Daphnia pulex: one gene and its partner. Each later gene encodes a partner of the first gene's protein in a complex. Links are inferred from orthologs where the notes say so. Each region holds a gene or a part of one and is shown on either strand. Other genes may lie near its edges. The genes, in order: exosome complex component RRP45-like and exosome complex component RRP46-like.

Region 1 (4,292 bases):
GGACTGTAAAACAAAATCCATATCACAGAACTGATCAACACTCCAAGATTTAGTATGAATAGATACCTCGGCTCGCTGTCTGTAATCAGAGAAAGACTTGGAACGTTTGACCTTGGACGCAGTTTCTGTTGGTGTGTTAGGCAACGCAATTGACGGCACAGATTGGGCTCTGGCAGGACTGGATTCTGGAAGAGGCATATAGGTCCTTAAAGTGTTGCGGAATTCTTCCAAATCTGATTCCACATCGACGTTTTCCAACTGCTGATAGGCTTTTGTAAGAACGGACAACGACGTTGAGTGAAAACTCATTTCGATTAAAGCCAATCGCTTCATCCAGCTAATAAGATCCTTGAGCTTCTTCTTTTCGAGCTTGTCGGCTCGTTCCTCTATAGACTTGCCTAGTCGGACAGATTGTGTTGTGGCGTGTGCTAAATCACTTTCCGCTTTGCTTATTTGCATTCGTCCCAACGGGTTTTGCTGCCGTAACTTGTGAACGTATTTTAATTGACTTATTTCTTTTTCGTACGCAATGCTACAGCTTCGGACGTCCTCCATGGCCGACTTGCAGACGCCCGCGTAACTTGAAATCTCTTGGATGACAGTTTCCTCCAAACGGTTAACGCAAACATCTCTTTTTAAAAATAAAGTCGGTTAATTAATTTGACTAATTTTTTCGTTACGAATTCAAACTCTTACCTGTAATCTGAAATGAAAGAAATGTTATCGGCAAAGTCTTTGATACCTTGACTGCAATTTTTGTTGACATTTTCTGCTGTAGCGTACTCATTTAATGTCTGTGCCAGAAAATCGCCTTTATCCCGCTGACTGAATTTAGATTTCACAGGTTATGTTTATTACGAACACCATCGAATTAAGGTATAATTAAACTAACCCGGCTATTTTTCTAGTGTATAACGCTAGAGCGGTGCAGATCTCACCAAAGTGTTTTTCGATTACTTGAATTCTATTTTGTATGAAGCGCGTTTGGGTTGCACTTCAAGATTTACAAGGGTTGGAAACAAGAAATTATGTACATGTTTAAGATTTTTCTTAAATTACAGCAAAGATAAATTTACCTTGAGTGTGGCAAAGAGCTGGCGCTTGGTGAACGAAACATTGTTTTTTCAGCGTTTATAAGAAAAAATACTATTCTTCCGTGCTTGTTTTGATTTCCATGTTTCCGTAACCGTGGTAACGGATCGTTCCAAATTTTAAACGCTGCTGCTTGGTTTGCTTCAAAATATTGGAAATAATTGTATTATTATAAAATTTAAGTTTTTTTTAATGAAAAATTATCTTTCCTGATATTTAGGAATAGAAGTTAAGATAATCATAAATCTATCTAAATCTAGAGAAAAGATTTCGAGTGGCAACGTTGTCTGTCATTCACGCACGTGGTCTGCTTAAATATTGTTCTTTTTCAGTCGGGCAGAATTATTCGTTCTTTTTATTTCCATCGTCAAATAGTGCTTAATTCTTTTATACACTGGTTTAGTTATCAACTGTTTATATTTAAAATGAAAGAAACACCGCTATCGATTTGTGAGAAACAAACTGTAATCCAAGGCGTCAAAGAAGGACAAGTATTTCTCACAGGTCTAGTTGTTGTTTTTCGAATTTTGTTAACATTGTTTACGATTCATTCTTAGAGAGTTGACGGGCGTAGTCTCTCGGAACAGAGAAAGACTTGTATTACATTCGGAACAGAATGGGGATGCTGCCAGGTCCTTCTTGGAAACACAAGGTATCATGTTTTAGTGTCATTTTTCAGTACTTGTTTCTAACGTGTTTTATCCTTAATGAATCTTTTGTCAGGGTGATGGCGCAAGTTTCTTGCAGTGTCCAAGTCCCGAAATCATCAAGAGCAAATGAAGGCATGCTGTTTATCAATGTTGAAATGTCTACTATGGCAGCTGAACATTTTGAAGCTGGCAGATTAGGACAACAAGGCATTGAAGTCAATAGGCTAGTTGAAAGGTGCATTAAAGGTAATGTACATACATTGCCACTCATACATCAATGGCCCTTATTACATTAACTATTTTAAAAACAGATTCCCGCTGCATTGATTTGGAGAGCCTGTGCATTTTGGTTGAGGAACAAGCTTGGGAAGTGAGAGTTGATATACATGTACTGAATCATGAAGGAAATCTGATTGATGCTGCCACTTTGGCTGCTCTAGGCGCTCTTTGTCACTTTAAAAGACCGGATGTAACTCTCGATGGTCGGGATGTTATCATCCATCAGCTAGATGAACGGGATCCAGTTCCACTCACTATCCTACATCATCCTTTAACTCTTTCCTTTGCTCTCTTTAACCAAGGGTAACTAGATCGCTATATTTTGTTTTCCCTTTGGAAAATGTATTTATAACTTTCCCCATAGGAGAATTTGCGTCTTGGACCCAACAAATTTAGAAGAACGTTCTGCCGATGGAAAACTTGTGATGGGTTTAAATGCATACCGAGAACTTTGCACATTACAGATATCTGGCGATGGGGTGTTTATCCATAAAGAAGCAGTTATATCGTGTGCGAATGTGGCAGCATCAAGAGCTGTTCAAATGGTTGAAATGTTAAAAAAATCTCTGGCTGACGATGCCGCCGAAAGGTATTCAGCCTAATTCTTCGGCACCCGAAAGTGAATAACATTCTCTTTTTGCAATATTTGTAGAGCCAAAGGAAAGTACAGTGGGTTAGTTGCTAGCGTAGCGCTGGAAACAGAAAGAATCACCACTCAGTCACAGGCCGAAGTGTATTTCAAGGCGTCACATCATAAGGCTGAAGTATCGAAAAAAGAACCTTCGGCAATCACGAAGACGAAACTTGTAAACGATCAAGGAGTTGTTACATTAGAAACCTCTTGCGATACGTCCAGCAGCGAAAGTGAGATGGAAGTTGAACCACTCCCACCTGTGGCAGTAAAAAAGAGGGTCTACGAAGAAATAGGTAAAAACATTGGTTTCGTCCTGTATCTCGTCTATCGGCATTCAAATCTAATTTTCTCACCGTTTCCTTAATTACATAGATGTTGGAAATGATAGTGAAGAGGAGCCTGTCATGTTGGTAACCAGCGAACTTACATAAAATGACTATGATGCACCGATTAAACCTTTCGTTCGAATGTATTTGAATTTACAAGGTTAAATTAATAATTAAAACATGCCAAGGAGAAAACAACAGACGCACGCATATTTTTGAGTTCCATCCTTTCGCTAGTTCATCATTTCGAAGACAAACGTGCTTTAACGTGATTTGCACTGGGGGAGGGGTTGAAGCATAGACAGACCACGGTTTTACAAGTTGTCATTGTTTGGTTTCAGATCGAGTTTGTTTTTATTAGATTTGACGGTGTAAAGGAATGAGTGGAGGGCTTCCTTCTCCACCACGGGAATAGTCCGGAAATGGCGCATCAAGGTCTATCATTTCAATCACGAGGATTATTGGTAAGTAATTAATAATAATAATAGTAGGTTAACTAGGCAATATCTGTACCTCTGCAAGTTGTGCTTTATTGAGGCCTGGTCGAGTGGGCACTTTGTAATGTCGCTTGTAACGCCTTAGCGTATTGATTTGAAGTTGGAAGAGATCAACTTCTGGAGCATCACGTTCTCTTTCTTGCAGACTGAGCGTGTCTCGATCTGTTTCGTTGGAGTCGTCTTCAGAATCTTTCCTCTTGCGCTGCCGGACTCGAACAGACTGAATTAAGCTCTTGTGGTAATCACAAATATAGATGTGTCTGGCCTATAATTAAGAATAATAATGCACAAGTTAAATAATACTTCATGAATCTTGAATAAAACTGACAAGGGAACATCCACAGTGGTTGTGCCTTTATTGGTCTTCCAAAAGCGGAGGGAATGCTCAGGATTTCCAACACTTTTAAAAGTCCAGGGCAATTTGTGACCAAGTGAAAGCCTAATGCAAAAGACAGGTAATTTCTACTTGGACACGAAGGACCCTTGAATAGGGGGTTTTCTTGTCCCTACTGAAACTTTGTGTGAATAACTTACAGAGGAGTCCATGTGTAGCCGTAGTTTCCTTTGTTGTACAGTCTTTTGAATCCGTTTACTAATCAAACAAATGTTGAAAATAATGTTTCTTGATCAATTAGAGCACACATACCTGTAAGAGGCATTTCCAGCCATTCTAGGACATCTCTCGCCATCGTCAATCATCTGATCAAATTCAATCAGGCAGCAATGTTGATCATGGCTTCGCTTGGAATCACGCGAATCCTCCTCACCCGAACCCGTGCTAAACCCATTCATCTTTGAAATATGCTGAGTGCTC
Region 2 (3,271 bases), on another chromosome or scaffold:
TACAGGAATTTTAAATTGTTTTAAAGGACGAATAACGAAGCAGTGACACTTTCTAAATTATTTGAGTCATTTTGACAATCAACTAATAATTTCTAATCTCTTCAAAGTGTTCTGACCAATTTAGATTCTTTTGTCTAATAATGGACACCACACACAAGATAACGTTTACTTAGCCACAATCATGATTACGATTGCTACTGAAATGGAACAATCGGAAAATAACTCGAAACTGGAATCAGGTGATACATGACTTAAATTTAGAATTGCTTTATTTGTGTTGACTTTGACTTGACAGCCTAATTGGCTAAACTTTCTAATTGAGAAAAACATTTCAAGGCCTATTACCGTAAAGGCTGAAATCGCACTCGATATATCCAGACCACCTTGAAATAAATTTTCAGAATAACCATAAAAGAAATTCCTTTATGCTACATTTTCCGACCGAATAAATCCTAAAAATGGTAGAACTACCTACCATATGTCATTCTAAGAAGAGTTTGTTTCAAAGTTAAGTTTATTTTTTTTCTGATTTCACAATCGGCACTTTTACTATACCTAAATAACTTGTGTCAAAATTGTACCGCATTGCATTGGAGCCAAGCTCCGGGCAGGAAACCTTCTAGATATAGTTTTGGTGAACGTGATTACTCGAGTATTGCTAGATGCGCATGACATATTAGGATGGATTGGTTTTCCGAAGAAATTTAACGATACTGGAAATAAGCAAGCCTATACTTATACAATTATACTTTGTTTTCAGTCGCATATACAAAACTTTAAAATGTGTATTTTTTGAAAGTTTTACAGAAGTTCGTTGGAAAACTTTCGTAGTACTGCTTGCCGGTAGAAATCAAAGATGACGTGACTGGCTTTCTGACACAGCTCCATGGCTTTTTGAAAAAGTTGATAGGGAACTTGGCCTTCACAGTGGCTCAGAATTAAGTTGTATTTTTGACTGTCAAAAGCAAAGGTAAACATTGCTTTATAACCTTCCTGTAATGGGGAAAAAAGTAAGTTAGGCACAACAACAAAAAATGGGGGAAAAAAATTAGTTAATTCTTAGTGGAAATCATACTTTGACTGTGCTGATGCATGGGTCTAGGACAATTCTATCCTTCTTGTCTACCAAACAAGTCACTGCAGCTACAAGACACTGCAGGGGTAAACCCGAGTCAAGAAGTGCAAGGCACACAGCATTGATGGAGGCTGCTAGCAACTAGTTTATGGAAAATGTGAACAACTAATTCTTGATCAAAATAAATTTGTTGTGGTAAGTGCTTACAGTTCCACCATCTTGCATTTCTTGAACTGTTATGCAGACAGCTGTTCGAGGGTGCAGGTTCGTCAAAATAATGTGATTACAAGTGGTCTTGATGAGTTTCTCCTTTCCACGCTCAGCAACACCTAAATAAAAATGCATTCAATATTACAGAAATAATAATACACAGGATAAGTTATTAATAACCTGGCATTCCTGTTTTTGGCTTGTAGTTTAGTTCAATGTACATTCTATCGGACAGTTCCTTTTGAATTTTAGCCTCCAAAGGTCCATAAACTGAAGCCATTACCACAGTATTCCCTGAAATGACAAGTCAATAAAATAAAATTTACCGACTTGGACAAAATAACACGAAAACAGCGTGGAAAAAGTTACAAATCTAAACTTACCTTGAGAAAACATCACCGAGCCATCTGCACGTGACAGTACGCTTTGTTCGCACTTTAAAGCACGAATGCTATTCTCTTCAGTCTCCATGGCGAATAATAATATTGCAAGCAATTCTTTGTGATTGAAAAAGTATTCAATAATTCAGATTAAGAACGCAGCCCTGTTTCTGCATAAGCAACGTGATCGTAAAAAATACATGGGGTTGACGGGTCGGCAACAGCAGTCTGCAGATGTCTCTAAGTTACCATGGCAACCATTTACTTAATCACACAAAATATAACTTTTAACTCCATGAATTTAAAACAACTATTATATTTGTAATAAAGAAGACCTGAAAAATTCACAATTTTCCAATGTAGCTATGAATATGTATTTTTCATGGATTTCGTTCGTTCAGTCACGAGAGAATGGCAACGCTGTTTTTGGCCAGAAAATTGTGAGCAAGCCAAAGACGGATCTCCGAGTAGCGACAGTATTTATTAGCTCGGCAGACTACCAAGTTATCGTGACTTGAGCTGCACGGTCAGAAACACACACACACACGTACGTGAGTCTGTTTCTGCATTTCTCGAGAGAACGTAAAGTGTGCTAGTGTGTGTGTGTGTGTGTGTGATGTTTATACGTGAATTTTTTGTGTGTGCCATCATGATTGGGAAACCTGCGTATTAATTGAATTTAGTTTGGGCATTTCCATTAGCCAGTCCCTCTTATTCGCACCGACTTTTTTCATCACCAACGTGTTATCACGCGTTGTGCTGCTCCCATCTGTGTTGGTTTTAAAACAGTCGTGTTGCTCAGTTTTGTCGTGCAATCAAGTGGAGGTAAAAACCCAACCTTTTTTCTTTGAAGAAGAAAGAAAAGGAAAAATCTAAGTGGTGCCAGGGCGGGAGAACGACGAAAGAAAAGGTGATCTCAGCCCGAGGCTATGTGACATTCCAATCAACCTGTTGGTTGCTGGAACCCGTTTTTTTTTTTTTTTTACTCCATTGCTCCCACCTGATTGCACACACACACACCAACCACACAGACTATTCCAACGAAAAAGGGCCAGTTTTGTGTGTGTGCGAATTTCACTGCCATCCAAAAGTCAAACTTCGCCATAATTGTGATTGTGTTTTTCATAAAATTTTGGATCCAAGCTCCATCATGGATGATGGTAATGGTCAGGTGACCTTTATGTTCCAAGTTGGACTGGTACGAGACTTTATCTCCACGGATGCCTCCCAGTTAACGCTGAAAACGCTCAAAGATTTGGCCTGCAACTTTATTAATCAACGGGTAAGTGTTTTTGAACATTACACGCCGATCCAATTACCTCCACGTCCATGCATCACTATACACCTGACAACGCCTTTATTGTAGTAACCAGAGAGCTTTTTTGTTTTGATTATATTACGTCATCACTGTCGTTGCTTAAGTGTGTTTGCCGTGTATATTTTTGCCTTTTAAGTTGCTAAGCTGTTGTATTCGGAATTTTTCTCCATATTTTCCCATCCACTTCCACTGGGAACTGTTGACACAATCCTGCTTTAAATGATCAATAAGGTTGGATGATTAGAAATAATCTCTTTTCAAGAGGGGGCCAATCGATTTCTTCAGCAG

What was found.
Region 2: exosome complex component RRP45-like (region 1) and exosome complex component RRP46-like share a complex: the UniProt entries of both Homo sapiens proteins name them as parts of the RNA exosome core complex. The link is inferred for Daphnia pulex from reciprocal best matches to the Homo sapiens genes EXOSC9 and EXOSC5.

What each region holds. Positions count from the first base shown.
Region 1 is NC_060019.1:12,894,539-12,898,830, forward strand, and holds the start of exosome complex component RRP45-like, read left to right. Parts: upstream 1-1,377; 5' UTR 1,378-1,517; coding exon 1,518-1,583; intron 1,584-1,649; coding exon 1,650-1,744; intron 1,745-1,815; coding exon 1,816-1,988; intron 1,989-2,053; coding exon 2,054-2,324; intron 2,325-2,385; coding exon 2,386-2,610; intron 2,611-2,673; coding exon 2,674-2,948; intron 2,949-3,027; coding exon 3,028-3,065; coding exon of another isoform or gene 3,066-3,086; exon of another isoform or gene 3,087-3,141; coding exon 3,142-3,282; 3' UTR 3,283-3,295; coding exon of another isoform or gene 3,296-3,418; 3' UTR 3,419-3,445; intron 3,446-3,494; coding exon of another isoform or gene 3,495-3,743; intron 3,744-4,012; coding exon of another isoform or gene 4,013-4,070; intron 4,071-4,113; 3' UTR 4,114-4,124; coding exon of another isoform or gene 4,125-4,270; 3' UTR 4,271-4,292. Other genes in the region: protein FAM92A-like, read right to left, coding at 1-3, 67-631, 697-825, 893-994, 1,077-1,117; histone deacetylase complex subunit SAP30 homolog, read right to left, coding at 3,296-3,418, 3,495-3,743, 4,013-4,070, 4,125-4,270. UniProt on the Homo sapiens protein: Non-catalytic component of the RNA exosome complex which has 3'->5' exoribonuclease activity and participates in a multitude of cellular RNA processing and degradation events.
Region 2 is NC_060020.1:3,912,701-3,915,971, reverse strand, and holds exosome complex component RRP46-like, read right to left. Parts: upstream 1,906-3,271; 5' UTR 1,757-1,905; coding exon 1,669-1,756; intron 1,580-1,668; coding exon 1,466-1,579; intron 1,405-1,465; coding exon 1,283-1,404; intron 1,217-1,282; coding exon 1,076-1,216; intron 994-1,075; coding exon 802-993; 3' UTR 768-801; downstream 1-767. Other genes in the region: serine/threonine-protein kinase D1-like, read left to right, coding at 2,816-2,947. UniProt on the Homo sapiens protein: Non-catalytic component of the RNA exosome complex which has 3'->5' exoribonuclease activity and participates in a multitude of cellular RNA processing and degradation events.